Linked DNA regions of Schizosaccharomyces pombe. The gene in region 1 interacts genetically with each later gene. Each region holds a gene or a part of one and is shown in the gene's direction. Other genes may lie near its edges. The genes, in order: SPOM_SPCC18.17C, SPOM_SPAC17G6.03 and bit61.

Region 1 (10,787 bases):
AGCACCATCCGACCTTTTCTCAACCTTGCCATCATAAATTAAGACATCAACAAGGGAAATAACATTAGCCAAGGAGAGATCAACCTTAGTGATATTAGTACTTCTTAGCCAATTATGAATTTGTAAAGCTGTAGGGTATCCATTGTATTCGGGACCCCAAACAAGGTCAGGACCCATGGCAGCCTTTTTGGGAGGGAAGCTTTTAGAATGTACATATCTGTAGATCACCTTTTTTAGGTTCTCGATGAATTCCACATCCAACTCTTGATCGGTAAACCAGGGGCCTCCTGTAAGCTCTGTACTAGGAACTAAATCATATAGCATGTATATTTTTCGAGTCGGATTTTTTACACTCTTAATAGACTTGACGAGATTTTTTGACTCGAGCGACTTCAGACATCTATCAACAACAGAAACATGCAAGTTAGTCCTTAGTGTTAAGGTTTTCCTCCATATTCCCTCGTTGCCAGAATTCTTGATAAAACTGTACACGATTTGTTCATCGCCCTCCATGGTAGAAACACTAAAAAGAAGAATGTTAGCATTGACAAAACAAAAATCATGATTAAAATTGGCGTAAAAACTTTATATTATACTACAATAAGAGATCAAGAAATGCATTGAGTTTCTGACATTTAAAACTTGATCAACAACGAAAAGCTTAAACAGTTAAACTTTTCGGTGAGTACCGACTTACGTTTTAGCTTCATCCAATCGAACAGCCCGATATACGAGAACATTTCCTTGCCGCAAAGGATCCAAAAGTCGCCGACTTAGAAGGATATTTAAAGCACTACTAAGATCGTTCACGGATATCGAAGCGCCAATCGCTTCTACTAAATCCTGTTGTGAAAGCGAATTTGGGATCTGTTTTAAGCAATGCTCGTATATAACTTTGGCATTCTTAGGAAGAGTACGCAGTTGGTCGGCCATGTTGAAAGTGAAAGATAAAAGTTTTCTGTTGAGGGTTTAACCACGTTTGCCCGCAGTATTTTTGGGCGTTGTATGGTATTCCAATATACCCAATATACTATAATAAATTATTTTAAACTAAAAATGAAAAGAAGAGACAAAAATTTTCAACTTTTACGAGGCTCTCCTCATCAACCAAAAACCACCTCGGTTGGAGTGGCAGAGGGCGACAATTAAGAAAACTTGGCTCTCTATTATAATAATATTCAATTTGTCAGATCATCAATATAGTAATATGAATTTTATAAAAGAGGTAAATGTTAGGCATTTAACATATAGTAAGAGTAGAATATTATTTAATAGAGGTTTGTTAGGAATGTATGGAAGTGAGGTATCTGAATGAAAGTCAGTTAAGGGAGATATATTGTTCATTTATTAATTGATTTTAAAAAACTTGGATCCATTTTATTAAACTTGGTTCTTCCGTTAAACAGAGAAAATGATAATACGGCGCAAATTACATGTGGATGTTATAGACATTTGAGATACAAGGGAAATCTGAAAGAAAACATTTTAGAAGATAGTGTTAAAGATGTTAAAGAAAACCGGATAATTTCAATGATTTGAAAAGGGCTACTGTTGAGAAAAAGGCTTTTTGCGACATTGAACGAAAGTTTTTAGCGATTGAAAACTAGTTGAGAAAAAACAAGTGAAAATTGGCGTTTTCAACTTCCAAATGTACCAATAACTATGCAATTTTAAGCTAAATAGCTAAAAAAAATATTCATATTAATAGAAAAAATTTTGATTTTCAACCACTCAAAAAAAGAGGCATGAATGAATCCAAGAAGAAAAACACAAAATAAAATGTTCAAAGCAACCAAAAACGTTTATCGCTTCGTCTAGATCTACCAACTAGAGCAGTTTATTAACTAATTTTCCATTAATATGTCCAGTCAAGGGAATGCCAGATTTGCATGTTCACCAGGAAACCGTTTAAAGAAGCGGAAAATCAATATGCTAAAATGAATTGCGAATGCGTCGCAACGTTGCTGTAAGTTGTTGGCTACTAAAAATTAGTTGTATAAGAAGAGAGAAATAGAAAATGAAGTTTGAAAGGAATTTTCTGATTTTAAAATAAAATCGTCTAAGGATCTTTAATGCATAGAAAGGAGATTTCACCATTGGGAAGGTAAATCAAATGCATTTATAATCATTTTTACAGATCGTTATTTATTTACTGCATTTGATTATATTCCTATAAATTGCGATATTATTATAGTATGCAAAACTTGTGCAAATGGTGAGCTCTCATTACAAGTAAAAAAAAATTACGCATACGAACAAAAAAAGTCTTGCTTCTTTTCTCTCTATTTTTGATTATCTGAGCAACCTCTTTTTCTTCTTCATCCTTCTCCTCTTCTTCCTGCTATACCAATGAATTGTGTACTCACCTACTACCTTTTTTATGCACCCTTACATAAATCCTTATTCTATATACTGAACTGTAACGCATCTTTATCTTAAAGCTCACAACCTTACGCAACCTGGGTAACAAATAGTAACGCGGAATGAATGCCGGTGTATACGCGTATTCAGTGAAACTCAATTCTACTTTCTACCATATACTCTTAAGATCGTGTAATTCTTGTGCGTTTTCCAATTTTGAATGGAAAAGGCTTTGTTTTGTATCAAATTCTCTTATTTTAGGTAAATTTCGTAAATCGTTTGTGAAGTACGTTGTTTCCACTTTGTTCAGAGTCCTCCCCTTGTACCTGCTATCTTTGCCGTAGTTATTGTCCCGTTCCATCAGTCTCATAACCACCGGTCTACCGAAGTGAGCACTTGCAAACCATCTTTCTTTTGGATAAATAAAATACACAAAACTGTTTTTTTCAATTTTCTTATCGGTTTTGTAGTTTTCTCCATTTCGTTCCATCCTCAGGTTTCCGATAGGTTGTTCGTCATCTCAGTGTTTACTACTTGTAACGGTGATAATTGTCCGTATCCCCGTAAAATTTGCCTTATTCAGAAGAGTATAATTTTCTTTTTAAAATAACCCACATGGCTTCTGTTGCCCACATCAGCACGGCTAAAGCGATTTTTCGAGCTGGCGGTTTGCCTTGCAGAAGATTGATTACCCCAACACTCACTGGTGTAAGTAAATTGTAATTTGTGTTTTAGAATGAGACTCCGTGAAAATCGGTTGGAGAGAGAAAAAGTCATGAATGTTGCGAAGTAGTTACCTATTAAAAAAAGAAGAGTTGCTCTTCGTACTTGTTTTCTCTCTTTTTTTATTAAATGACTACTTGCTAGTTTAACCGTTTTGTTAACCGTTCATTCCATAACTCTTGTGATATGCCTTGTTTAGTCGTGCGTTATCCCATTGAAACGCATGATCCACTAACACCACGAAATATTATTATGAAAAGAATAAGTTCAGTGTTTTGATGTGTCGGCATTTGTTTTTGTTGTAATGCTCGAATACGGCTGAAGAAATTGAAGAATACACTTCGTTTTTCTGTTTCTTTCGTTGGTTCCATCTACTCTTGCGAATGAACAATGGCGTGGCACAGAGTTCCAGCTTTCGCGGTTTCAGCAAGATGCAGCGGTTGAGTCACATCTATTTCGCTTTACTCTATTGATTTATGCAATTTGCGTATGACACTAACTTTTTATTTTTTAGTTACCTCTAAAAACTCATAGAATGAATTCCACTACTCCGACTTATCATCTCATTCCCAAAGGCGGTAAGCATGGCGAGTTCCGACAGGAATCTGACACCTTTGGTCCCATACAAGTCCCTGCAGAAAAGTATTGGGGTGCTCAAACTCAGCGTTCTCTTCAAAACTTTCGAATTGGTGGTGAAAAAGAGCGACTTCCTCTTCCCTTAGTTCGCGCATTTGGAGTTTTAAAGCGTGCGGCTGCTTCTGTTAATCGTGAATTCGGTTTGGATCCCAAACTTGCAGATGCCATTGAACAGGCTGCCCAAGAAGTCATTGATGGTCGTTTGGATGATAACTTCCCCTTGGTTGTTTTCCAAACTGGCTCGGGCACCCAATCCAATATGAACAGTAACGAGGTAATCGCTAATCGTGCCATAGAAATCCTTGGTGGTACGTTAGGTTCGAAAAAGCCCGTTCATCCAAACGATCACGTTAACATGTCTCAATCTTCTAACGACACTTTCCCCACTGTTATGCATATTGCCTCTGTTTTGCAAATTCACACTCATTTACTTCCTGCCATGAAGCACCTCCACCGGGCCTTGAAGGGTAAGGAAGAGGAGTTTAAGAACATTATCAAAATCGGTCGAACCCACATGCAAGATGCCACTCCTCTTTCTTTAGGTCAAGAATTTTCCGGCTATGTTACTCAGGTTGGTTATGGCATTGAGCGCATAAACAACGCTCTTCCTCGTCTTTGTCTTCTCGCTCAAGGTGGTACTGCCGTGGGTACTGGACTAAATACTTTTGAAGGATTTGACGTGAAGGTTGCTGAGAAGGTTTCAAAGCTTACAAATATTGAGTTTAAGACCGCCCCTAACAAGTTTGAGGCTCTTGCAGCCCATGATGCGATTGTGGAGATGAGTGGTGCTTTAAATGTTATTGCTTGTTCTCTTATGAAAATTGCTAACGATATTCGTCAACTTGGTTCTGGCCCTCGTTGTGGTTTAGGCGAATTGATCCTTCCTGCTAATGAACCTGGAAGTTCAATCATGCCAGGCAAAGTAAACCCCACCCAATGTGAAGCCTTAACAATGGTTTGTGCTCAAGTAATGGGCAATCATGCCACTATTACTGTCGCTGGTGCCTCCGGACACTGTGAACTCAATGTTTTTAAACCTCTTTTAGCAAAGAACATTCTAAGCAGTATTCGTCTTTTAGGGGATGCTTGCGAGTCTTTTACTGATCATTGCGTTGTCGGCATTGAGCCAAATTACGAAGGTATTGCCCGTCATCTTCGTGATTCCTTGATGCTTGTTACTGCGTTAAATCCTCACATCGGTTATGATAACTGTGCCAAGATTGCCAAGACTGCTCTTAAAAATAAGAGCACTCTCAAGCACGAGTTTGTTACTTTGGGTTTCGGTACCCCCGAGCAATTCGATGAATGGGTTCGCCCTGAATTAATGATTTCAGCTAAGAAAGTATAATTTTTTACCACTCTACTTGTTGGTCCGTTAATATTGGATCATCAGTTGTTGCTCTTTATCCTTTTTCATGCTCTTTATCCATCCTTCTCTTTTATCTTCTCTCAACTTACTTTTTACGAAAATCATTCCCCTTCTCATAATATTAACTAGCTTTTTTGCAAAAATACCCATTATGTTAAATGAGTTTTTTTTTCTTGCACAAGCCATAGGCTCTCAAACAAAATAGTAGGCACTCATTTAAAAAAAATGGTTAGTTCGTGAAGTAGATTAATGCGTAATTTTGATTAAGTGTTTCTTTGTTTTCCACCCCTACAGTTATAGTCGTAAACCAAGAATGCAAAGGTGTTTGATACCCTTTTCTTTGTATGTGTATTTCCTTGATATTCGGTTGCTCGGTTAAAATTAAGCTTACTTAAACGAGATAAAATTGCCTCTTGCCTGATTTCAGCCGATCCATCGCCAATATACGGGATCTGTTAAAAACAAGCCAAATGGATAGTATAGAACTCATACCAGGCTTACCAGGACCCGGTAGAAGACTATTACAGTTATTGAAAGATCTCCCTTCAAACCCGTCGGTTATCGTTCGTGAAATCCCTGATGCCATAGATGCGTTCCGTGAAAGTATAACGCCTGCTACAAGGCCATCATGCTTAGGACTCTTGGATACCATACTTAGTTGTTTTGAGCTTCCAATACCTACCGAGCCGATTATGAAGGCTTTGGGTAAGCTGCTTGAGCCAATGAGTTGGGCCGATTTGAAAAAGTTTGGAATTGAATCTTACTTGGTTACTGGACTTGAACATCCTTCTACAGATGTCGAAATCTTTTGTCTGCACCTTATACGCCGTGCAAATTGGGAAAAGAAGGAGATTGGTGAACCACTGTTTGAGGCGATTATGGCATGCATCAACTCTCGAAGCATAGCAGTTTCCGAAGAAGCTACTGTTTTGCTATTCGATATGGCAGATTTTCCATACTACTTTAATTTAATTATAAAGCGTTTTACATTTGTTGACTATGAAATTATGAACTCTACGCTGAGGGTACGCTGGTTGACACTGTTCGCAAAACTGTCTACGAAGTCTCCAGAATATTTGGAAGAACTGATTAAGGACGACAAGCTTGTAATTAATGGTGACAATAAAGACATATTGCTTCAAATTAATTTCGTGGATGTCCTTGGGATAATGTTAGAGGCTCCTTTTACATACGAGTATATAAGTTCTGAAAAAACAAAGTATTTGGACACGATCGCTCAAGACTACAAAGGTTCAGCGGATTCTTATACGGATCATATTGGATTAAAGTTCCTTCCCAGGCTCTGCGAATTGCATCCAGACGCTATTAACTCGTTGGATGAGAAGCATCAACTATTTGACGCTGTTCGCGAGAGAATGAAGACGAACGATGCTACATCTATTCTTCTTTACGGAGTTTTTTTGTCTAACACAGTGGTAACTCAAGCACTTATCAAGAAATATGGCATTGAGGACGAAGCTAATCGTTATGTGCCAAGATGGTTGACAAGACGATTTTTGATGGACGAACCGGGTATGTCTTCTTTTGCTCATGCTCTTTTACAGCCTGATCATAATTTGTGGATGCAGCTTTGGAGAATATTACCTCCCAACACCTTGAGCACTTTAGTAAACACTGCTTCTTCTCCGATTCCTCGTTCTAGGCAACTAGCATACCAATGCTTGCTACACATTGCTCAAAATTCGCCTATCCAAATTGCTTCTGAAGGATTCGCTATCCGTCATTTACTTGAAGCAGAAGGTGACCATGAAACATGCTTACTGCGGTTTCAAGTGTTAAAGACCATGATGGAATCTCCTCATGGCGGACCCAAGCTACCTTTTGGTAGATATCGGGAAGACATTCTTAAAAGACTACAGCAAGGGCCGATTGTTAGCGGTGCTTCAACGTTAAAAGTGGCCGCAGAAACTGCTTAAGTAGTTTACAACTATTATATTCCAAAAAATCTTGCTTTCTTCTATTATTACAGCAAGCAAAATTTTCCCTCTTTTTCGACTTCCTTAAACGTCAGGTTCGTATGCCGCTTTTTTTGAAATATGATGTATAAAAAAAAATGGCTGTTAGCTATAGGGATAGTGTTTAGTTTCTTAACATGGATATTTATAGTCCTATATATTTTCACAAATGGAAAGCTTTTATGAATTGCAATTTCACTTTCACTTGGCAGTCTTTGGGGACGGAATTTATGGATGCCACCCAAGGCCTTTTGTCAATCTAATAATTATGCAATTGTCTACTTGTTTCTCAAAAAATTTAATTAATAACTATTTTATTTTGTGCCCAGAACAGCGCTGTAAAACTGCTTGAATACCAAGCGCTATTATATTAAGGTTAAATCTTTAATTCCTCTTGAATATCAAACGCAAGTTTTTTATTAAACTTACGAATTCATAATAGAGTTAAACAACCGTTGAGCATTTGTGGTTATTACCAACCTTGAGATTTAACCATTGATGGTCAATGGTTGATGAACCAATTGTTTTATTATTTTTTTGTTATTCATAGATATCAACTAAACTAATTTAAAATAAGCGTAATGGAAATATTTGTCCAACATGACTCTCTTCATTAGGCTGAGCTACGCTTACTAACTACCTACTTCCACTAGTATTTTTCCAATTGCGCTAGCAACCTTTGATTTACTCTATGACAGTTAATTTAGAAGAAAAGAGGCCTGAAATTGTTGGTCCTGAAAAGGTGCAAAGCCCTTATCCTATTCGCTTCGAAGGGAAAGTTGTTCATGGCTTTGGTAGAGGCTCAAAAGAGCTTGGAATTCCAACTGCAAATATATCAGAAGATGCAATTCAAGAGCTTCTTAGATATAGAGATTCTGGTGTTTATTTTGGATATGCTATGGTACAAAAACGAGTATTCCCCATGGTGATGAGTGTTGGATGGAATCCGTACTATAAAAACAAGCTACGAAGTGCAGAAGTGCATCTCATAGAAAGACAAGGTGAAGATTTTTACGAAGAAATAATGCGTGTTATTGTTTTGGGATACATTAGGCCTGAGCTAAATTATGCCGGTTTAGATAAATTAATCGAAGATATACACACCGATATTAGAGTTGCTTTAAATAGCATGGATCGTCCTTCTTATTCTAGCTATAAGAAGGACCCATTTTTCAAGGTATAAAATACAATAAGATCCTTAAAAGAAATCTTTTTGTGTACTTTTACTCATCCTTGCCGCTGCCAAAATGCTTTAATAAATCCTGCTGTATTATTCCTTCTTTAATTTCTCTTCCTTTTTGTTAATAAGTATTTGGTTAGATTGGCTTTTGTTTTTTAAATACATTTTGTTAATTTCAGATGGCAATGACTGTAAAGATTTACAATTTTGTGAACACAATAGTACTGCCATAATCGTACTTAAACTTTTTTTATTTTAATAAACATTTATTGTATTTCATTGATTATAAAGAACGATAGTATTTGGTCGGATGAGAATGAAAAAAAAAAAAAAACAATGAAGGAACAGAGACAGGTGGAAGAGAGTCAGTAAGTAAGAAAAAGAAGCGAAAACAAGAACGTAAATGATCATTTTTTCTGTTTGTAAAGATAAAACAAAGAAATGGAAAAGTAACGATTATGAACAACGTTATTCTACACAAATTTTGTATAGCAAACATGCAAAAAAAGAAAAAGGAAAAAATATGCCCGTTATTCTCCTCCCCAAAGTCTACTAAACAAACGAATGCATGCTAAATATCTTCCCAAAGGCAAACTCTTTTATCATAAAACGAGCAAGTAGCAAGTAGACCATCGGTGTGACGCCAGTCTCCTCCGTAACACATGCTTTCATGCTCCTTAAAAATGCGTTTGCTAGCATCAATTGAACTAAAATCATTAGAGATTCGTAAAACTTGAGCACCACGATGCATTAAAATGCCAAGGACTTTATGATAATTTTCAGTAGTCTCCATGTGCTCAAGACGCCATACACCACCACCCAGATTAGCACTAAAAAGTGGCTTTCCAATATTTCGGGTATCCAACGTATGCATAAAATCTCCATACTCGCCAGTAGCAATATAAGGACCAAAGGGGGCTCGAGAGAGGATGGAAACAACACCAGAATGATGAACTTGAATGTCCCTCCAAATACATGAATTGGGGATTCTTTGATCATAGCAAACAAGAGCAGCATCGTCACCTCCCGAATAAAGGAGGTTATTGTCTTGACGAGAATAATGACACGTCCAAGCTTCGTAATCGTGCTCTTTCCATTTGTTTTTAATGACACCAGAGTCGATATCGATGATAAGAACACTTCCGTTTGACATAGAGACCGCTAGCTCCTTTCCGCTGTCCGAGAAATCCAAAGACAGCATAAGGACGCTAGAATCGGCCACCTTGATACCACGTAAAAACATAAGTTCTGCTCGAAATTGATGGCGATAAAAAGAAACGTGGCCGGTGGAATGAGCTACAGCTAATACAGAAGCATCATGAGGAGACCTATAAGATGAATTAGTATCAAGTCGCGAGAAAAGAAAACCACGGGGTATAATCCATGAAGCGTCGAGCAACAACTGAGAATCAGGAGAAAGGCGAGGTTCAATGATGGAGTGAAAATACTAGAGAAAACGAAGAAAAGGTAAAAGGAGAGCGTTGTGGAATAATATGGGTATAATTACTCCCTTTTTCCGCGTTTAAAAAATCGACTACGGATTATTTACTTGCACCACTGATTAGAAACGCTTTCTTTTGAACACCGAAATAAACCTTCTTGACTAGCCTTCAAAACAAAGGTGTGAATAGCATGAGCTCAAGAAAGCGTATAGTCAAAAGGGGAAACCGTGGCTTGATACGAACTGTAGATTTACGACAGGATACTGTATTATTGACTAAATCACATGGTTGCGAAAAACCCTCATCATTTTACGCCAATCTTTTAATTCTTTTGATGAACTTCTGCTCGTTGACCGTTTTGGCAACTTACCATTTAAAATCTAAAATTGCATCGCAGTGCATGTCAAACACTCTTTTTCTAATCTAAATTAGTACTTTTTCAAGAATTTTTTGATCTAACATACAGTACATCTTCTTTGGTATCATAAAGCACCAATTTTCCATGTCGCAATTTTGTCGATTCATCTAACATATATGTCCCAACGACTAAAACATCCTCAAAGACTTGAGAGTATTTACAAACATCAGCAGGCCAATCCGTGTAATCTGTACTCTTTGGGATAATTCCAGTTTCACTCATTTCAATGCCAGTTAGTGGTACTATCAAGTTGGTAAATTCGCTTTGTCTGGGTTTACTAATGTATCAGATCGGTTACGCTTTTTAGAGAATCTCGTAATTATATTTGCCGCGTCACTATCCCAATGTTTGTGAGTTGGATTTTCTTCCGTTTGGTTAATTCAATAGCAAACCACAACGTACACGTATTCTTTTCGTTAAACAATAAAATGCAAAGTTCAGCGTGCTCTAGAATACGTTTAATTAATTAAATATAACGGCTTCTTTCAGATAAGTTGCTATGTAACTATAACGTATTCAAAGAAATTATTATCTTTAAAGATTGCTACTACGGTCGTTGGGATTTGTAGTAAAGGGTAATTAAATAAGGAAATTTTGTAGGCTGGCAAATGTACGGGTGATTGAACCTTAATGTATCAAGCGGTAAGGTGATTTGGGCTGTATTTATCTGTAGGTCATTGAA
Region 2 (10,891 bases), on another chromosome or scaffold:
AGAGAATGTTGCAGCGCGTTGGTGAATGCCGCAAGCTGATCATGAGTTTGCTACGTTTGCTTGCCAATAAGGCAGATGTTGTTAGAGGTCTTTCCAAACGATGCAACGAGTCATGGCAAGTAGCTCCTAGAGGTGAAATTGCTTTATATCTTGGTGATGTGCAGGATCACATAGTCACTATGGTTCAAAATTTGAACCATTACGAAAAAATTTTATCTCGAAGTCATTCAAATTATTTGGCTCAGATTTCTATTAATATGACACTTGTTTCGAATGAAACAAATGAAGTCTTATCACGTTTGACTATCTTGGGTACAATTCTAATTCCGTTGAACTTGGTTACCGGTTTATGGGGTATGAATGTTAAAGTTCCAGGACAAGACGTACCAGGACTTGGTTGGTTCTTTAGTATTCTTGGTAGTCTGATGATTTTTGCGATTTCATCTTTCATTCTTTGTAAATGGTACAAAGTTATTTAGCTCTTACTGTATGCTTGTATTTTTGCCTGAGAGTTTTCCCCCCAGGGTTACCTTGTAGCTCATTTATTTCTTTTAACATGTTTTCAAACATGGCAATCCGAATTTCTGCACAACAGCCGAGGAACCAAGTCGATCTCATGGAGTAAAATTAACTGTATTTTCTCGTTTCTGTCCTTTATTGCTTGAGTCGTGACTTTATCTCAGTTTTAAAATTAATGTATTAGACCGTTTTCCATTATCAGAAGATTACTCATTGTGGAATATGCTTTTTGTTTAAACAACTCACCATTACTTGCAAAAATATTTATTAAAAAACGACTAATAGATAGATAATTATGATTATTAATCAAATATACAACGAAAAGAGTTAAAAAACGATATTAAAGATGAAGCTTGAATGGGGAGAAGGGGATTCGTCGTATCAGTAATTTTTTTTTTTTAATAAAAAATAAACACACTCGACGTCTTGGTATTTAACACTGCTTCAAACTATTTTCTCGAAATAAGTAATGCATATTGCAAAGCAATAAATAGGAGAAGAAATGTCTCATCTAAACATTTTGTAGAAATTATAATACGGTTGTAAAAACAGACATTAGTGAAAACGAATAACAAACGTACTAGAAATTTGACACGTAGCGGAAACCATGCATGCGAATATAGATAGCTCACATTTATAAGAGGTCTTAAAGCTCCTCAGAGGAGAAAGATTTTTTGGGATCCTTGGGTGCCAAAAATGAATCTGGGTAAATAACAGCAGACATATTGGTGATATCGTTTATAGAAGGACCATATTCCGAAGGGCCATACTCCGAGGGAGCGTATTCCATAGACGAAACGTGCTTTTCGGTGAAAGGCAATTTGCTTCTCTCGAGAGCAGGATATAGAGAGGGAATCAAAAGGGCCGAAGTAAAAATCATCGGGATGAAATCAAATATATCGAACCATACCTCATGAGTAATGACCGCACCTTCCCAACCTTGTGCCAACTCAATAACACGATAGACGGAACGAACTACCATTGCAAATGTTGCGAGGGCTAGACAATTACAGGACATAGTTCGAACACGAGTATATGGAACATCTGGTTCCCTTCTGCCAGTGGAAGGACGAATGGGATGATGGGTATATAACGCAATGAAAAAAATGGAAAACAGGATAGAAAAAACAACAATGGTAAAAAGTTGGAAGCAAATACCGCCCAACATGATTTGAGAGCCCTGAGTTTGTAACTGAGAACCACTGTCGGCACCACCGGCAACACCACCGCCAGCAGCCTGAAGAATAAGAGCGATGATATCAAAAGTGATAAAGATGCCTCCATATAGCTTAGGAGATAAAACGGAAAATCGAGGTCCATACAAAAGAACGATGTGATGAAACAAAACGTAAGCCTGTGCAGAATAAAAGACTGGTGCGATAATTAAAGCGATGATTTGACCCAAGAAGGCGTTGTAGTCATCTGGATTGTACGAAGCGTCTAACCTACAAGCCCATCCAGCCAATTCACCAATGGTACCGATAATAGGGACGATAACGAGCCATTTTCTCGTGAAAGCAAGACAAGCAACGTGAAGAATGAAAGCGATACTAAAGAGAATGACAGCAAGGATGGTGACCCAGTGGGCAGGGATATAGCCGAAAGCGTTATCGTAATACATGGTAACTAATATGAGAAAAGCGAAAAAAAAAGAAGTGTATAAGTGAAAAGAGAAGTAAGAATTTAAAAAGAACTTCACTCAAAGAAACAAGGGATCGATTAATTTGTACAACAAGTCAACTCAGTTCAACTGAAATAAACGGAAAAACGGAAAACACGGAGAATGCTGTTATGCGACAAGATCATTCACTAATAAATAAAACTTTCATCAATTAATACGCAATGTTAAAGTGTCCGGTAGTCTTCAGCGACATATGATGGCGGGAAATAAAAGCACAAAATAAAGACACGCGACAATAACGAATAAAAAGATGAAGTAAAACGTAAACAAGGCGGATTCGCAATAAATAGTGAATGGCGGCACAGTGGGAGAAAATGAAAAAGACACTGGGAGTAACCTTAAACAACGGCTAGCTACGGACGCAAAAATATTGTAGCCTGCTAAATTCTCGAACAAGACGACGAAAACAATTACAACAATGAATGTGCTGGAAATTGTGGAAACAAGAAAGAACTCTCTGCCAATTACGCAAATGTACTTGGAATTCTTAATAACACCGTTGACCCTGTCTAAGTAATTTCAAACAAGTAATTCTTCAGTTTATGTACCAGTGTGTGGCTTATGGAATCTTTTTTTTCTTGATATTGTTGAGTTTTACCTTCCTCGGGGTTTGCAGTTCCGAGGACTAATTGCTGTCTCACCAATACCAAGCTTTTCCTGCTTAAATTTCAATTCACGAAGATACTCTATTTTCAGTAGTTCCATTTCAATGGCAGAGGTATTTTCGTTTGGAAGAGTCATTTCAATAAAAAGCTAGTGCTGCAAGCATAAACGTAATTTGCCGGTGAGTTTCAAACGATTTAATCGTCGTTCGCGTTCCCAATTGACGCTTGGAATGAAAAATAATAAATTCATAAAAAGAAAAGTTATTTTAGGAAGTTCTTTTTTGATATAGCTTGGCTCTTCAGTTAGCAATGCAACGAAAACTGATTTTGCGAAAGTGTCACACTTTGCTTTTGACAATGTCGGTTTTGCATTTGTAATCAGAATGATGCATAGGAACGAGATTTTGAATTGTCCGACTCGCAGTACAATAATGATAGGCATTGGAAACTGCGTAAGACTTTACTCTCATATTACTCGATAAAAATTTTCCTTTAGATTTTTTCGGACACCGTGGAAGAAAAATTTCTGATATTTTTTTTTAAAGCCTCTTAAATTGACATGACTTAAAGCATTGAACTATTAGCGTTGACCTGAGCACTGATATGAAGTTGACGACGAAAAAAGCATGAAACTAAACGTTACTGTTCCATCACTAGTATGAATGCGTAGAAGGCTCACAGCATTAAGGCTTTTTTTTGAATTTTTGATTACATTTCTATGAACTATGCTAATTTTCTAACTTGGGGAATGATAGGAAACGTTTTCCTTTTAATATGAATGATGAGTGAATAAGACGACTTTTTGCACAGGTGGTGCAATAAAGAATGCCCCTAGTTTTGTGGCTTCAAAATATCGTTTGATGGGATAAATTAATTAATTAAGTAGAATGAATGGAAATAGAATGTTTAGCGGAAGTTTCTTTAATCGCCATAAAATTTACACAAATCATTCATTTGTTCCATACCAAATGTCACTATAAGTTGACCGATACAAACCATGACTAGATGAATTGGCGGAAAAGCAGGTTTCAAATAGAAGAAAGAAAAAATGTGAAATTAAATTTTCCTCTTTTGTATAACCCTCTTTATTAATGACCTGATATTTCGTTTGAAGTGGAATATGAGTTTCTTCTCCTTCTTAAATTTTCGTCATGTATTGTACGAAACATATCGTTTGGACATTTTAAATCAGTTAACCATACTGAATGAAAGAATAACCGAAGTTGTATTTAATCATTACAACATATCCATTCTTTTATTACCTTTTATTTTTATTTTGAGCTCTATTAATCCTTGCTATATTATGTACATAATCGTTAGTATGTTACAGAAAGGATGGGTGTCCGAGTGGTTATGGAGCTGGCTTTAGGTGCGTTCAACGCATTGCACGCCAGTGCGAAAGCTCGCGGGTTCGAGTCCCGTCCCATTCAATATTTATTTTTTATATTATTATTTTAAATCGGTATATGAGTTTATTTCTTCAAGCTTGATGGAGGAAAAAAAACCCTGTTAATGGCTGCTGTTTATCTTTAAAAAGTTCTTTAAACAAAGTAAGCTTAGAGTGTTATTGATACTGGCAAACGCAGTCTTCATGAAAGAAATAGAATGCTCCTTCTTTTAACGGAAACGCAAATTGATACATACTCCTTTGCAATATTTACCCTGGTTTTTACTCTTTTTTTTATGTTTTAAATTCTACAAAAAATCTGGCTTTTCCTCGTATTGCAATTCATACATATTTATGGTATTACGAATACATCGTTGCGGGATCCCAATTCTTTTAAGAGACAATGCTAATGCCAGATTCAATGGTTTTATTTATTTTCATGAATGGAAAAAATGATTTTTTCCTTTTCAAATTTTTTTGCATTACTATAAAACCAATTTTTCTTGCTTAATCATTTTCTTGAGCAACAATGACAATATTTTGTTTTTGCACTCTTCTCTGGTGAATAAAGACAATATACGTTTTTCGGAAGGAATACTTCTGGTTAAAAGCGTTTTTCTCTGTGATAAGGTTATAAATATTACTTACAATATTGCATAATATTATCTATTATCGTTCGTCAAACCAATTCCCCACACATTGTCAATTTACAATTCTTCTTTTCTTTTACTAAATACTTATGCCCAACCGGAAGTTAAAGGCATAACATAAGTGTAGTGTTTCACTAAAGCTTTTTAATCATTTGACGATCTCAAAATCTTGCATTTGCGTGCTCGTTTTGCAGACGTCGCAATTTTCATTTAGAAATTTTTGATTAAAAAAAATAGGCGACTACGAATTCTTTTTTAAAACTCCCATGACTTTTGATGGAAGCAATGATTGTCATATTACGAAGGTTTGGCTGGCTACTATTTGCTGCTTGTGACTTGGTACTTGATCTTCTTATCTTGGCGATTCTGCACTTACCCTATATACTGGGAACCAATATTTATTATGAAACCTGCCCATACATTTTCATTAATTTTCTCTCTTTTATTTGTTATCAATCCTTGCTATTCAGCAACTTTGCCCTTGGCAATTCGTCGGGAATTGACATGGGGTCAAGTCAATATTTTACACACTACTGACATCCATGGCTGGTTAGCAGGACATGCGCGAGATAAACGTTATTCAGGAGATTTAGGAGATTTCGCTTCTTTTGTTCAACATATGAAGCACTTGGCAAAACAAAAAGACGTTGATTTACTGCTAGTAGATACCGGCGATCTTCATGATGGTACGGGCCTGTCAGATCTGACAGATCCCCCTGGTAGTTGGACAGATTCATTACTTGCAAATATGGATTATGATATTCTTGTTGCTGGAAATCATGAGCTTTATCTCTCAACTGTTGCAAATGATACTTATCATAATTTCATTCCTCTGTGGGAAGGCCGATATTTAGCTGCAAACATTGACATATATGATGAACATGTTTCTTCTTTTGTACCCTTTGGAGATCGATATGCCATCTTTTCTACACCCCACAATGTTAAAATCCTTGCGTTTGGATTTGTAAACTCATTTTCTGGTGCTACTGATACGGTTCGTGTCCTCCCAGTTTCGCAATTCTCGCTACAGCCATGGTGGAACGATATGGTATCAAATAAAGACATCGATCTGATTCTGATTCCCGCTCATGTACCCGTTCACAATGCCTCAGAGCTTGATATCGTTCTTTCAGAGCTTCGGATTCACTTCCCTACCACTCCAATACAAGTACTTGGTGGTCATTCCCATATTAGAGATTATGCCATTTACGATGAAAAAGCAGTGGGAATTGAGTCAGGAAGATATTGCGAAACAGTTGGTTGGGTCTCAATTAACGGCATTCCATCCTTCAAATCGTTGGTCAAGTTATCTGGGATTTCTTCTTTAATGGGGGTGGAATCTTATCTAGCTGAGCGCTTGAGATTTATAGGCGAAAGTATTAGACGGTCATCTCAGCAGATATTTTCCTCTTTGCAAAGTGCTAAATCTGCCAGTGTCAGCTTCTCTCGTTCCTATATTGATTGGAATCCCGAGGGCTTTATGTTTCATTCGAAAACAAAAAAGTCTTCTTTCAATACCTCACTTGGAGAATTTATTTCTAATGGCATTTACGAAGCTCGGAAGGCACTTGGCTTACTTACTCCTATAGGTTGTTCCCCAAAAAAGTTTGCATTTTCAGAAGTTCCATTTAACGATTCAAACTCAATTTATCATCTATTTCAATCCGAACTTTTTCCAAAAATAGTCGTCAATGAGTCTCGACATCACATTCCTCACTATATTATTGTAAATTCGGGTGGCATTCGAGGTGGTCTAAATTCAGGTGCCTTTGGCTTAGACGAGGTCTTTCAAGTCTGTCCTTTTAAAAGTAATATATTCTATGTTTTGAAAGATGTCCCATGGTCGATTACTAAGTACCTGCCACAAGCTCTACAACACAGTGGATATCTGATTGCTGAAGATACTCTTCAAATTAACACTCCACAAGTTTCTGATGCAAAATTTGAGGACTTTTATGAACACTCCATTCGCAAGACATATGGATACACTACACACGATGATTTAGGAGATGACGGAGATGACACTGCTCATCTTACAACTCCTCATTATGAACCGCTGCGGTTTATTTGCTCGCAAGTTGGATTTGATGATTCTTTTTCTGGAGACGATAAGCAAGTTGTTGACGTTGTTGCTCCATCATTTGTTATTCCACGCTTAGACGACATTTTAAATAAAATTGCAGATAAGCCTTTATATTCACCTGACGATTGGGAGCTTTACTTTACGAGACCTGACGGAAAGCATTCTATGACTGATTTGTTACCATTATATGCAGATCTCTATTGGGACCACGATTGCCTATATAAGTAAAAGGCTATGGTTTATTTCCTTTAGTAAGGATTATTCTAATGACATTAATGATTTTAAAGATAACAAATAAGTCAAGAATTATTATTTATTCAACATGTGTAAAAATGACGAAGTAAATACCTGATAGAGAAGTAAAATAGGCATGATATTAAACTCGGGACATAAACCGTTAAAATAATAAAAAAAATCCTCTCATGAAAAATTAAAGTCCATAGACAACTCATAAATAAACCATTAGAATTTTGATGATTCTTGTGACAGAAAATATGATTTAATTCTTTCTTCAAAACCAAAAGGAACACAGTAAATTGGATGAGCCGGTAATAAAGAGCTTAAAGAGGAGTGTAAGATGGAAGGTTTATAGGACCAACCATCAGAAGTGTGATATCTGTAGTCATAAGCAATTGATGATAACCCTAATAGACAATAACAAGTATGATATTGATCAGGCCGTTTTGGTGGTTTGTCACGTAAACCGCCGCTTGTACTCTGGCAACATTGAAGAATATATCCTAATAATTTTTCTGGATTATAAAAAAGGTTAGGCAGGCTTTTATGAGAAGCCGAACCATAGCCTGAAGCCACAATCACATGGCTAGCACCGACCCACCAACTATAACAACCATCCACTAGCTTGTTAGAGCGACCGGAAAATCCGTAAAGAGCAGGATCTTGACGTTGTACAAGCCAAGTGCTAAGTTTTATTTCATTTAAATTGTCAAGACCTCCCAGCAAAGCAATTGCGGCAAGGGCACAAAATGTATATCCGCCATGAGCCTCGGCGTAAGGGACACCTGAAAGACCTCCCTCATAAGTTTGGCACTTGCAAAGCCATTGCAAGGTACCCTCAAACAGAGGATCGTCCATACTGATTCCCACTAAAGAAGAAACACATACAGCTGCATAAACGGATCGAGCATCCGACTCTCCCTCATTATTAACTCGAAACGAACCATCCGGATTTTTTAAAGAGAATAACCAATCGTACAAACGATCGCGCTCTATCAAGGAATATGCGTCGGTGGAGTCACAAAGACATATACTGAGTATAGAAGCATAAGTACTCAATAAATGTTCATCTTGTCCATTCCCACCACAAAAACCACCACTAGGCCCTTTCAACTGTCGCACACTGCTAATAGCCCGTTCACAAACAGAGCTGTCAAGTTTGCCTAAAATTGCCAATGAACTTAGTTCCCAATAAACCATCCAAGCCCTTGATGCATCCAATACTGTAAAGGGAGAAGGAAGAGGATCTAGCATTTTGGTTAAATACTTAAGATGCTTTTGCAAATTGAACGATTGACTCTCGCCGTTCAGCAATGGAAGAACAGCTGTAGCCGTTTCGTTTTGCATAACTTGCGTTTCTGATAATTCATCCATCTTTACTAACTTTAACGAAAGAGTCCGCTCACCAAAAAGCTTTATTAATTATAAAGTTGTTGGACTGGTTTACTTAAACACTAGAAGACAAAGAACCTAAAGTAACAGCCAAATTGTTACTTGGCGCTAGATGTGAAGGTTTCGCATATTAGAGGAAATACTTGTATGAGAGGAGCTCGAAGATGAAAGTTTTGAAAGACATGTGGCACCCTGTTTCCTTCTTAAAAGTAATTGCTCTCCTAGGGTCTTATTAATTTCGGCAAGTCTCTGTTCAACAGTTTTATAATATTCAAGGCCCTTAGATACACCTTCCGATATAGCTTTAGCCGTAAGAGAAGAAGAAAGCAAATTAGAACATAACTCTTTATTTTTAGAAAATTGGTTATTGTATACTTCCATCTTTCTCAAAAATTCCGGATTTTGTTTCAACTTTTGTGTAACATTTCTCATCTCATTCAATAGTAGTTGCTGTTGCCGATAAGATGCATGTAATCTATTTCGCAAGGGGTCAAACTTCTTTAATTCTAGTTCAAAAAGCTGATTGGTATCGAGTGCAGAGTCCTTCCGCTTACTATTTTGCATGAGAGACTCAGAAATATCATCTTGCAAACACTTTTGCTGTAAAGCCTGTAAAGTGGTCTGCCTTTCAGGAACTAACTTTTGAACTCTGGATTGCAATTCTTCTAACAAGTCAAGCTGTATTTTCATATCGCGCTCTTGCTCCTCCTGCTCAATAGGAATATCAAGTAAGCTTTGACCAGAATTATCAGTTGAGGAAATGGACGATTCTAGTAATGCGCTAATTTTGGAAGAGTTACACAACGTTTCTACATCATCTTTTACTAAAGCATATTGTTGGGATATAGCGGAATCAGTAGCGGAAGCCTCTGCCAAGGTCTTCAAGTAATTGTTGAGTTCACTTTGATAAGGAGCGGCAAACTCTAAGCTATCTGATAACGTCCACGAGGGTCCAAGTTTCGCCTTCATCTTGGCATTTTCATTGGCTTCCACTTCTAAGTCACTCTTAATTTTCGCTATAATTTGCTTCAACTTTGTGGATTTTGCAAACAACTCGTGAATTTTAAAAGTAGGATTAAAAGAAATAAGTTGGGAACGAGCTTCTATAAGTTCTTTCGGAATAAAGTTCGTTTTGGAATCCGAATGTGTGATTTCTTGAAGCCGGCTAAGGTCTAAGGAGGCGAAAACCGTTGCCATTTGGGTGTTTTGTCGTTCTACTTCAGCTTGTTCAGCGCGAAACACTTTGGCAGTCTCCTCTGAATACAGCGAACTGGCGGTCGTAACGGCGCTAGGCACAAAGGCCTTGAACAAATCATCTCCAACAATTTTTTTTGCAGTTTCAAATCCATCTTGACTTCCATACAATTTCTCTAAAGGAAGTGGTGGTAGAGCTTGCAAAGGAGATATTTTTGGGAGCTCAACTTCCTTGACTACAAGATCATGAAACACAAAGTCATTATCTTTCTCAGCAGTTTTTAACAAATGAGACAAGGAGGATTTGATGAAGGTAGAAATGGTCTGAGGATAGTCAGAAAGACTAGGCTTATGAATAAAATCAGTACTCAACTTTATACCATTGAATAACTTTTGAGCAGACGAAAGAATTGACTTAGCTTGTTGTAAATATCCAATAGCAAGCCCTTGTTTCGATTTTTCCAACTGAGCGCGTGCCATAAAATAAGAGGAAAATCCCTCAAGGGCGGCCTTTTTGGCAGAAGCAAGCCGTATGAAATTGGGATTGCACGCCGGTTCCATAGATTCAAATGCGTGTACACAGCTATCATATAAAGTAGCTGCCGAACTAGCAATCTTTGCAGCCAACGAATAGTTCATGTTAGAGTCACTAGCTGAAAAAGACATATGTCCCAAGACACACTCCTGTGCTTGACCCAAGAAAAGATTGTAAATACCTAGTAAAAAATTGGAATCTAAATCTCTTCCAGGTGCATGAATGAAAGATTCGCGTAAGAGTTTGGCAATACCGCTAGCGCATTGTAAACAATTGGCGGCCGCCTTATAATCATCCACAGTGTAAGCAGATGCATGATTAGCAGCCATTCGGGAAAGCAATGAAACCAAATTGAATAAAACCGATGCTTTTTCAAAGGCAAGAGAAGATTGCTTGACGAAATCTGCATCGGGATCTAAGATATCGCTCCACTCAAAAGAAATGTTGATTCCATTACCACCAGTGGGAAATCGGAAAGACAAATAGTCAAGTTGTCCGTAATAAGAATACAAAATATCCTTACCAGCAACTGTGTCATCGACGTCTGCTGCGTTTTCTCTCAAAGTGTTGAACGCCTTAATTTGATCTTCGACATCAACACTATTTCC
Region 3 (10,368 bases), 380 kb from region 1:
AAATGCTCTTGTTATGAGATTGAATTTTGAGCCTCGGAAATAAATTAAACCATCTTTGGATTTAATTGAATCTGTACTAACTAATTTTAGGACCTTTCGCATGCTTTTCATGAAAAATATCCGGATGTCCACTTTGCCCGTGTTTACTTGAGCAGTAGCCTCGAACTTTCTGTACGCTTACTCATTTCTCGGATTCCTTCTTATTATTTCATCGATAATCAAAATTTCTACCGTGTTTCTCCTCAGGTTCTTCCCAAGAACAAGGCAATCGCCTTATATGAAAAAGACGGGTTCAAAAGTATGAAAAAAGAGCAAGGTTTTTTCTCTGTTAACGGGCCCTTGAAGTCCTTTTACTGGGTCTTTGGAAAGGCACTTGCACTTTACGGACACTTAAGTCAAAAATACACCCCTCTTGGAATGAATGTAGCTATTTTTGGGATCTCTGCCTACATAATGTATCGCTCTAGCAAAAAAGCGAAACAAAAACAAGCCGCTGCTGCTGCCGCCGCCGCTGCAAAAAAGAAATAAGCTATGTGGAAAATACTATTAGTTTTTGATAATATCAATTTTTTGAATAATTATACGAGAGTTTGTTACATGTTCTATATGTAAGGCACCGCTCTAGTAAAGGTTTATACCCTATTTGTTTCATTCCTTCCTTTTTTAACAGAACGTAGATTTTCCAACCTTATTGCTTGTTTGGAGATTCATTAGAGGAATCATCTTTTAGCTTAGAATAAACGGCAAAGTACTGCCCGTCTCTTTTCTTAGCATTCTGAAATACATTCCACGGCTCTTGATCGGGTAATGATGGTAGAGATTCCGCATTAATAGCATGATTCAAAGTACGAAATGGTTCCTTAATGAAGGATGTATCAAGTCTCTCAATTGCATGCATTTGAATGATTCCTTCGTTGAGTTTTAGAATTGTTCTTTCATTCTCTTCCTTAGAGTCTGCTTCACGAAGACCAACGAGCCTCAGCAAATGACCATACTCAGTTAAGCCAATTGGTTTGGGTGGATTTCCTTGGAGAATTCGTTTAAGTGAAACCTTTGAAGGTTTCAAAAATGGCATAGTGAAAAGGAAAATAGAGCTAATTACAAGAGAAAAATATAGTACAGGTTAAAAAAAAGATTCAATCTTAAACACTTTGTAAGTTTTTCAAATGCTTTGAAACAGCTGTCGAAGTTGTAGTCGGTTCCTACAATTTAACGACTAGGTTGTAAGTCTGGGTTTTTTTAGAATTAATAGTAAAGGAATATATTAAATCATTCGGTAAGTAAAGTCAATATAATCAGCTTCTCTAATTAGGAGAACTATTTTTCATTACTATGATAACCGTTTCCCATTCCCTAAATTTACGACATCCTGCGATGTCTGTATATAACTTTACATAGCAGTGTTCCAGTACGTAATATTGTTGAATGCTTGCGTAGAGTAACGACTTTATTAAAATTGGTTATTGCAATTGAATAAGGTAATATAAAATGCCACATTATTAGCACTTTAGGTGTCTACATGTTTCGCTATTTTTTAATGATGTATGAGAGTATTGTTTATACCCAAAATTGTAAGCGCATTTTCCATCCTTCTGCCTATTACAAGAATCGCGTAAATCATGAGAAAAATTTGGGAATTAAAAAAGAAAGAAGCTCAAAAAGAGAAAAATGCGTCAGGGATTAGTCCAGCACAAATCCGAATCCAAAAAGGTGCGACTCATCATGTTGATAACTTTTCGCGATTTACTCGAAACTAACCATTTTCGATGAATTTAGACGTTACAGATTTAGAAATCCCATCTACGATGTCTACAAGCTGGCCAGATCCTATAAAATTGAACGTGCTACATTTAGAAATCCGGCCTGACGAAGGTAAGTTTGTGATTCCGCATGAAAGAATATTTGGTGTAGACTTTTTGAGACTATTATTTTTTATTTTGATTAACATGAAAAGGGTATTACAAGGGTGGGAAATTTAAATTTCGAATCCAAATCGACGATAATTATCCTCATGATCCTCCTAAGGTTAAATGTCTAAACAAAGTATGTCAGTCATGCTCTAAATTAGAGTTGCAGCTTATGGTATATTTTTTGCATTTAAGAAAATAACCATTATAACATGTTTTGAACCCTTTCGTTCTGACCTACTGTTAGATCTATCACCCAAATATCGATATTGAGGGAAACGTATGCCTCAATATTCTGCGTCAGGATTGGAATCCAGTGTTGAATTTGAATTCTATTTTGGTTGGATTGCAATTTTTATTCTTGTCACCAAACGCAGAAGATCCACTCAACAAAGGTAGGTTAATTACAATTTTTTGGGGGGCAATGAACTATTTCTTGTTATTGCATTACAAGGAAATGATTATTCATCTCTTAACTATCATTTGATACTCATTTTTTCTACGATCCTTTATTATGGGATTTATAAGGTTCTTTACTGAGGACAATGATTATGATAAGCAATTTTAATATAAGAAATCTGGTTTGCTCCTTAACAAATTTTCTAGATTTATTTAACTATACTAACAAACGATATCTTTTAGAGGCGGCGGCTGATTTGCATAAAGACCCTCAAGGATTTGCATCTCGTGTGCGTACAGCCATGAAAGGTGGTCTTGTGAATGGAATTTCTTTTGACAATGTCATGGCTTAATTTTTCATCAATCTAAATCAATTCGATAAAGATAACCGACATAGATTAGACGACTGTCATGAAAATATTGATGTGTTTTAAATCTCGCTAAATCAGTCACGATTACGATGAACTTCCGATATCAGTATAAAAACACATAACCAGAACCAAACCCCCCTAATAAGCCCGTAACTGCTTTACAATGTTTCAAAGACGATCACTTCTCTCTGTTCGTTCGTCTGGTTCCCAAATCGCCTTTCGTCGATTTGTCAGCGTAAGTACAAGTTTGTTGATAGAGTATGCATTGTAAGTGCAACTGAACATACGATGGCAAATAATTAGACTATCATCTAATTCTGATTGTTTTCGAGAATTCTGTACTTTGCTCTTGTTTTTAGACAAGTATTGATGTTGAGAATGCTTCTTACTGACCCAACAAAATAAATCTTCATTTGTGCTTTCATACTGCCTCATACAGTACTAATTTTAATATTTCTTAAACTGCTTATTAACCAAGTTTAGCTTACCCACAAAGATCCAACTCCTGATACAACCAGTTGCAATATTATCAAGAAGGAAGGGGCGAATATTATATCAGTTTATGCACGCTATCCAGTCGTAGCTGCTAAAGGTGAGGGCTCCTATTTGTTTGACAAGGAAGGTCGTAAATACATTGACTTCACCTCTGGCGTAGCTGTTACATCTTTGGGTCATGCTCATCCTGAAGTTGCTAGACTTGCCGCTGATCAATGCTCCAAATTAGTCCATAGTAGCAACCTTTTCTACAACGAGCCTGCCATTGAGCTATCTAATGTCATTAATAATTCTTTGGCAAAAAATAGCGGTATTGCTGGCCCCACAAAAATTTTCTTTGCCAATTGTGGTACTGAGGCCAATGAGACAGCCTTGAAGTTCGCTCGTAAGGCAGCGTTTGAGAAGTATGGAGAAGGGAAGAGTCAAATTGTTTACTTTAATAACTCTTTCCACGGCCGTTCTTTGGGATCTCTTAGTATCACTGCGAACCCCAAATATAAACGTGGTTTCCAACCATTACTTCCTGATGTCGTCCAAGCCGTCTATAATGACCCTGCATCCATAGAGCAATTTGTCAATGACAAAACTGCGGCTGTTATTGTCGAGCCCGTTCAAGGTGAAGGTGGTATTTGTCCTGCCAAGCCTGAATTTTTGATTGCTTTGCGCAAGGCCTGTGATAAGGTTGGTGCTTCTTTAATCTATGATGAAATTCAATGCGGACTTGGTCGCAGCGGTGATCTTTGGGCCCATAGTATCGTTAAGGATGTCGCTAGTCCCGATATTATCACAGTTGCCAAACCTTTGGCTAATGGTCTACCTATCGGCGCCACCATTGTCTCCAGTAAGATCGCTGCTGAAATTCACCCTGGTGAACATGGCAGTACTTTCGGAGGTAATCCTGTTGCTTGCCGTGTAGGCACATTCTGTGTTAATGAATTAGGGTCATCCAAGATTCTACAAAACGTTAGAAAGCAACACAAGGCTCTTACTTCACGTTTTGATGACTTTGTTGCCAAATACCCTAATCTTATTCGTGGATATGCTGGTCGTGGTCTTCTTCTTGGTTTGCAATTTACCGAGCCCCCTGCTAAATTTATTGAGCTTGCTCGTCAACAAGGTCTTTTACTCTTACCAGGTGGAAACAACAACACCCGTGTCCTTCCTAGTTTGAATGTTAAAGATGAGGTTATTGCTAAGGGTTTGGATATCATGGAGAGCACTTTGAAGGCTTTAAGTAAGTAAAAGTGTATGTTTTCGTAGACTTGGTCATTGAATGGATTGGTTATATAGTGCGATAAAAAGTGATTATTACGAGAAATCTTGTTCCTCGAAAACATATATTAACCTTGCTCTCATTTGCCAACCAAAAAATTTTTTGATAGGGGGGTTACGAAAAGCTTAGCTGGAAGCTTTACATTGTAAATACTGGTTTTCGTTATTCCCTTTCTTTTCATAATCAATTTTGTTTACATTTTTTGTTAGAAAATTAGATATATATTGTTGTTTTTCATCTACTAAACTGAATTGTCGTAATATGTACCGTAAATACTCTGTCAAATGATAGTAATTCACAAAATCAATGTTTTTTTACTGCGTTTTCTATTACTAACTTTTAAAAAGTTATATAGCAAATAACATTCCATGTTTTCTTTTAGCATTAACTATTTTTTTCTTTGGCATACAATTATTATATCAACATGCTATTCATTCAATTCACATTAGAACGATATCGTTATAAGGAATTCTTAATCAATTTTTCGTTTCTATATTTTATCTTAATTTAAGGCGCACATCGATACTTTAGCAAAATACCACCATATTCAAAAATAAACAAAATTTTTTATCTTTCTAAAAAATATCATTTTTTTAAGTAAGTTTAATCATTTTATAATGATTGAACAATGAATATCATCTCATGCTTATTTTGAAGAATCGCATTTCGCGTAACTAAAAGCAAATTTCTTGGATACCCTCAGTACATTTCCAAAAATATTACTAAAGATGGTAGGGAGGGGATCTTTTTCATCTACCTCGAGCGCCTCATCCATTAATTGGATTCCAAAAAACACTAAAACTAGCATTGAAAGTGTTTCTAACACTATTTCGTTGTCGGAAAATGGGCAGAACCAAGACTTGGAGACTGTTACTACTAAGGAATCAAACGTTGGCGACTCTGACACGACTGAAAACATTAAAAGTCCGTTTAATGGACAATGGCCATTTAGCAGAAGATCTAGTCAAAGTAGCAGTCATCCGGTTTTTGAGGAAACACATTGGAGTAAGCATTCCAAGCGCCCAGGAAAGTTGAACGTTTTAACGCCTACTAGCCCTTCTAATGTTAATGCCGAAGTTCAAAGTATTTCTACGAAAACTCAATTATCGCTGCTTAACCTCTCTCCGCATAAGCATAAAAAGCCTAAAGATGGTTTAGATCTTTCTGCTTTGCAGAAAACGCTCAACGGGTCTCGAAATTTCTTAAGAGGAAGAAGAGACGCTGGGGGAATTTTTGGCGCTTCCATCCCACAATCACTTGTTACAAATCAAATAATCAATGGCTTCGGTGCAGCCTCTCTTGCATTTGCTAAATTGGGCAAAGTTCGCTCTCCTTTAGAAGGTCGCTTTAACCTGGTTCCCATATCCGCGGATGAAACTTGGCTTATTGTGGAATCCGAAGTTTGTAGTTTATATTCGGGTGAGGCTTTGCACTATTCTCTTGAAGATTTGAATGGAATTCTTATATTACATTTACAAGCTCTTATCCGTGATACGAAGATGAATGAGTTTGTTGGACACTTGGAGACACTATTCCGTAAGGCTACCAAGTGCCTTTCGGACAGTTTATCGCCTGTTCCAGAAGAATTATTTTTGAATCGTATCATAGAAACATGGCTGTTTTTCTTTTCTTCCGTATTGCCATACGTTCAAGGTGTGTTTTTACCTATAAAGACAAAATTGTTTGATGAACAAGAAAAAACACAATTACCCTATGAAGTAAATGAGTTTTGTTCCACAAATAGGGAAAAACTAAATGTCCATCGTCTTGCATTGATGACATTTCGCGATTATATGGTTTTGCCAATTGCAAATCGGATACAAATCTGTATTGGGCGTGCCGAATCTGCTGAAAATGCTTTAGATAATGCAGGAGAGGTGTTCGCTCGACTGTTTCAGATATTAAGTTTGTTGGCAAGTGTACGAACGAACGATTCCAAGGAACAAGAAATTACTAATTTGGCAACTAAAGTCAGATGCCTGTTGATAGCTTCCTAAATTCATTCTTAGATTTTTTATATTATTTTTCCTTTTTAAAATCGTTTCAGTTTTTTTTTTTACCTTCTTATTTTATAGGGTCCACACTTTTCAATATTTGCAAATTGTTCTAAAACTTAAAAAATTTGTGTCAATACTTGATATTCCCAGTCTTTTGTTTTCATCATTAGTTAACGATCAGCTTTTGTTTATGTCCACAATAAATATGTTTTTAAAACAAATATCAAAAATAAAATAGGTAATCTCGGGAATTACAAGTAATATGTATTTTAACTATTGATGTTTTCTAACCATTTAATAGCACAAGAGAAGGGTAAATAATCAATCGTACCAGTCGGATCGCATAGACATCTAGCTGTCGCATGCGACTGTACATCCGTAGGGCAATGGTACCAGGGTAAATGGTAATAACCAAAGTCCTCAAAGTAATGTATTTGCGATTTGTTCAGAAATAGCGATGCTGCCAGTGAATGTACGGGAGCATCCCCCCAGCGCTCGTAAAAAAATCCATAATTTTTATCTAAGTGCGCAAAGTAGTCTGTGTATGCAGGACTTCGAAAGAAATTTAAATTGGCAATTTCAAAATTACTCCAAAAATGGCAGAGATTGTAGTCACCACTTAACCCCTGGTGGTCATTAACGATAAAATCCAAGGAGTTATTTTGTGCAAGATATTGTGGGTTTTGGTGAATAAAATCTCGAGTAACGTTCCATAAAGAAGGGAGGGTTTCATAATAATCCGTCATTGATATGACAAACCCATACGCCTTATTCTCGTCACTCAACTTTCGAAAAGGATCACTTAAAGAATTGGTTAGTGACAAAATTCTATCATATTACAAAAACAAGAGTTAAATAGTCAATTTTTCTTGTGCACTTACTAAGGTATATCGCAAGAATATTCAACGCCGGGTTCAACGCGCCAGTAATAATCATAATGTGAAAGGGCTTTGTTTCGATAAAAAAATCCTGAATTGAAGCGACACATGATCCGATAACTCAGTGAAAATCCATATATTACTTTGTCATCGGTCATATCCCGAATTGATTTCAACATACGATTTAAATCGATGTTTATAGGAATTCCCCACTCTTCGTTGTTGAGTTGGACATAGGTAGCATCCCCACTCACCATTTTTGAAGTAGCTGTTATAAATTCTTTAGTAAAAGGGGCATCATTCATAAATGTCCATGGGTAATGATAGCGATGATTGAACCGATCCTCGACGCTTTGTATGGAAACAAGAGCGTCCTTAATGTCTCTATTACGGCAAAGCATAAACAAAGTAGCGTTCATATTGGGCTGCTTAGGAAAATAATCTGAATCTGTCAAGGATGACTCTCCTCTTTGCTTTGCTGTGGCTTTTTTTAGAAATACATACTTGACTTTTAGTTCCTTAGGCCCATCTTTAGAAGACTGTAAATAGAATGAAATAATGCAGAATAATAGTATACAAAAATAAATTGATGATTTGGGTATGCCCATGTTGAAGTCATGAATATGGCCCCCTTATATTAGGATTTCTTATTAAATCGCGGAAGTTTTTTTTTTATTGATTGTGAATGAACTTTATAACATGGTTCGATTGTGTAAGATACGCCAGTTTGCAATATTTTCGCAAGCAATCAATCTGATATGAAATAACTCGTTGGACTAAATCAACATTAGATTTGTAAACAATCAGTAACAATTTTGGTTTATAAACGATCATTTGGGAATGTTTTAAATTTCAGCTTTTGCTAATTCCAAACAAAGTCTTTAGAAAGATAGAGGGATTGTTTTTTAACTGGTTATGCAATATACAGCTCAAAACTGTTCCACTCTTTCACACTTTTTCTCTCTTACCTTCTAGTTAAGGATACCAGAACAACATATATTTAAAATTATTTTCCACAATTGGTAACTTCTAGGCAAAGGTAAACGATTCGAGATATACTGTAAACGTTGCTCGAAATGAAATAATCGTCAAAGGTTGGAATATCCATATTTGAACAAGTATGGTTGGTGTAGCGGATTGTCTTACTGTACGTTATTCGATAAACATTGAATAGCTTTTTTTTTTTAACTGAGGTTACGCAAAGAAACAATTTAATGGAAAGTAGTTCATTTTAAATACACTCAATTCTCGTTTCTTTTTAACAGCTCCGTCCATGGCAGATTAGCGCCTATAATAATGAATAACCCCAAATAATTTGCATAATTCTGAGAAAGTAGTTTTGCTAGCTAGTATCCTAGGTTCACTTTTTTAGTTTTTTTAGTACAATAATTTTGAAGCTTTACCAAAGATTCCACCATAACATAAACAAATATTTAAACTCAACCAGCTCGAAATTCAGTAACGCGCTCTACCATATTTTGGAATACATATGAACTCTCTTGACATTAATCTTGGGAATAGTAGTTCTTGAAAAGTCATAAACAGAGGATTTAGGTTTTCTTGGTGATTTCTATTAACTACCAGCTAAAATACTCGGCTCAAACTGTATGATGGCAAGTATATTATACTACACTCGCTTCGCAAATACCTTATGCTTGATAAAGTTTTACAAGCGATGAATGATTTTTTATTTTATTTTCTTTATTTTTATTTGTATTTTATATTCATTTAATATATGTATATATTATTAATTTATTTTACTTTGTCGTAGTCAATTTTTTTTTTATTTTACAGTGATTCATTGCTTCTATAATTTTTAAAACAATCCAGAATATTTAAATTATAGTGTCTAGATATAACAAATGAATTCGATATCTCACGAATTGATTGCTATTATATATACTTTGAAAATAGCAAGTGAACTTTTGTTTTTACGAGGAATTTTTCTTTACAATGTCTTTTTTTCCTTTTTTCCATTACTTTCAAAGTTTATTCAAAATCAATATTGTTTTACTAATACTGCAACAAGCAATGTATAGTAATCAGCAGTTACAAATATATCAAAAATTGTTATAATAATTCATGAGTGTGTAATTCAGTAATTAATTAAAATATTTGATATCCAATTGTTTATTTCGTAGTATTTAGAAATTCATTCGTAGTCGCAACACATCTAGTTCTTAAAAGATGTTTTTAAATTAAATATTTCGAAAGTTTAATTATTGGTTTACCAATGTTTTGTATTTGCATTTACGTTGTCTTAACGTACAATTAAAATTTAATTATTTTATGAATTTCATTTACCAATTGATTTTATACCGCAGCGAGGAAATAAATAATCGCTAAACCGTATATTGTAAAACTAAACAATTCGATATTAGAAAGATTACGCGATTTTTATCATTCGTTATTCAGTGATTATTAATGCGCGGCAGGCCTTGAAATATGTTTCTGCAAATTTAAACACTCGCTATCCATATTTTAGAATTAATTTTTCATTCATTCAATTGGCAATATATATTATACTACCAATTGATTTTTTTTTCATATATCCTAGTTTTGTTTCAACTGGGAAGAAATCCAAGTAGTGAATTCTTGGAAATTTAGTCGTTCATTTGAAACGTGTGCTTATTGACGAGGTATTGAAAGGTGAATTATTCGGAAATCTCTTTTATACCGGATAAGATGACCAAGGGAACAAGTAAACTGCTTTTCATGGGGACTGGTTGCTCTAGTGGTATTCCCAATGTATGTTGTTTGACACTTGAAAAACCAACTTGCCGTACTTGCCTCGCAAGTTTAACACCAGAAGGTCGTAAAAATAACCGGTTTAATACAAGCGTGTTATTACAGGTGGATGATGGGAGTGGAGATCGTCCAAAAAACATCTTAATCGACTGTGGAAAACATTTTTATGTTAGCGCATTGAAACATTTTGTGGAGCACAAAATTCGATATCTTGATGCAGTCATCTTGACACATGATCATGCAGATGCCATCAATGGAATGGACGATTTACGAGGTAAGAATTTATGATGAACATTGCTA

The links.
Region 2: mutations in SPOM_SPCC18.17C (region 1) and SPOM_SPAC17G6.03 together harm fitness more than expected from each alone (negative genetic interaction), as found in Schizosaccharomyces pombe (one large-scale study listed by BioGRID).
Region 3: mutations in SPOM_SPCC18.17C (region 1) and bit61 together harm fitness more than expected from each alone (negative genetic interaction), as found in Schizosaccharomyces pombe (one large-scale study listed by BioGRID).

The regions. Positions count from the first base shown.
Region 1 is NC_003421.2:1,982,912-1,993,698, reverse strand, and holds SPOM_SPCC18.17C (proteasome non-ATPase regulatory subunit), read left to right. Parts: upstream 1-5,523; 5' UTR 5,524-5,559; coding exon 5,560-7,026; 3' UTR 7,027-7,365; downstream 7,366-10,787. Other genes in the region: DNA-directed RNA polymerase III complex subunit Rpc34, read right to left, coding at 1-523, 698-933; fum1 (fumarate hydratase), read left to right, coding at 2,977-3,069, 3,599-5,068; riboflavin kinase Fmn1, read left to right, coding at 7,757-8,248; dph7 (WD repeat-containing protein), read right to left, coding at 8,817-9,573, 10,058-10,105, 10,152-10,327.
Region 2 is NC_003424.3:3,587,810-3,598,700, forward strand, and holds SPOM_SPAC17G6.03 (phosphoprotein phosphatase), read left to right. Parts: upstream 1-5,228; 5' UTR 5,229-5,245; coding exon 5,246-7,153; 3' UTR 7,154-7,258; downstream 7,259-10,891. Other genes in the region: vacuolar CorA family magnesium ion transmembrane transporter Mnr2, read left to right, coding at 1-479; tco1 (RTA1-like protein), read right to left, coding at 1,166-2,140; protein farnesyltransferase beta subunit Cpp1, read right to left, coding at 7,388-8,536; bro1 (vacuolar protein-sorting protein), read right to left, coding at 8,663-10,891.
Region 3 is NC_003421.2:1,607,370-1,617,737, reverse strand, and holds bit61 (Protor homolog, Bit61), read left to right. Parts: upstream 1-4,974; 5' UTR 4,975-5,173; coding exon 5,174-6,442; 3' UTR 6,443-6,691; downstream 6,692-10,368. Other genes in the region: SPOM_SPCC777.12C (ER stress response thioredoxin family membrane disulfide oxidoreductase), read left to right, coding at 91-528; protein Gta3, read right to left, coding at 689-1,075; NEDD8-conjugating enzyme Ubc12, read left to right, coding at 1,620-1,710, 1,777-1,872, 1,955-2,043, 2,155-2,302, 2,550-2,659; arg1 (acetylornithine aminotransferase), read left to right, coding at 2,841-2,912, 3,161-4,414; alpha-1,2-mannosyltransferase Omh3, read right to left, coding at 6,712-7,243, 7,324-7,928; SPOM_SPCC777.06C (hydrolase), read left to right, coding at 10,006-10,342. UniProt on the Schizosaccharomyces pombe protein: Component of TORC2, which regulates multiple cellular processes to control cell growth in response to environmental signals. TORC2 is required for cell survival under various stress conditions.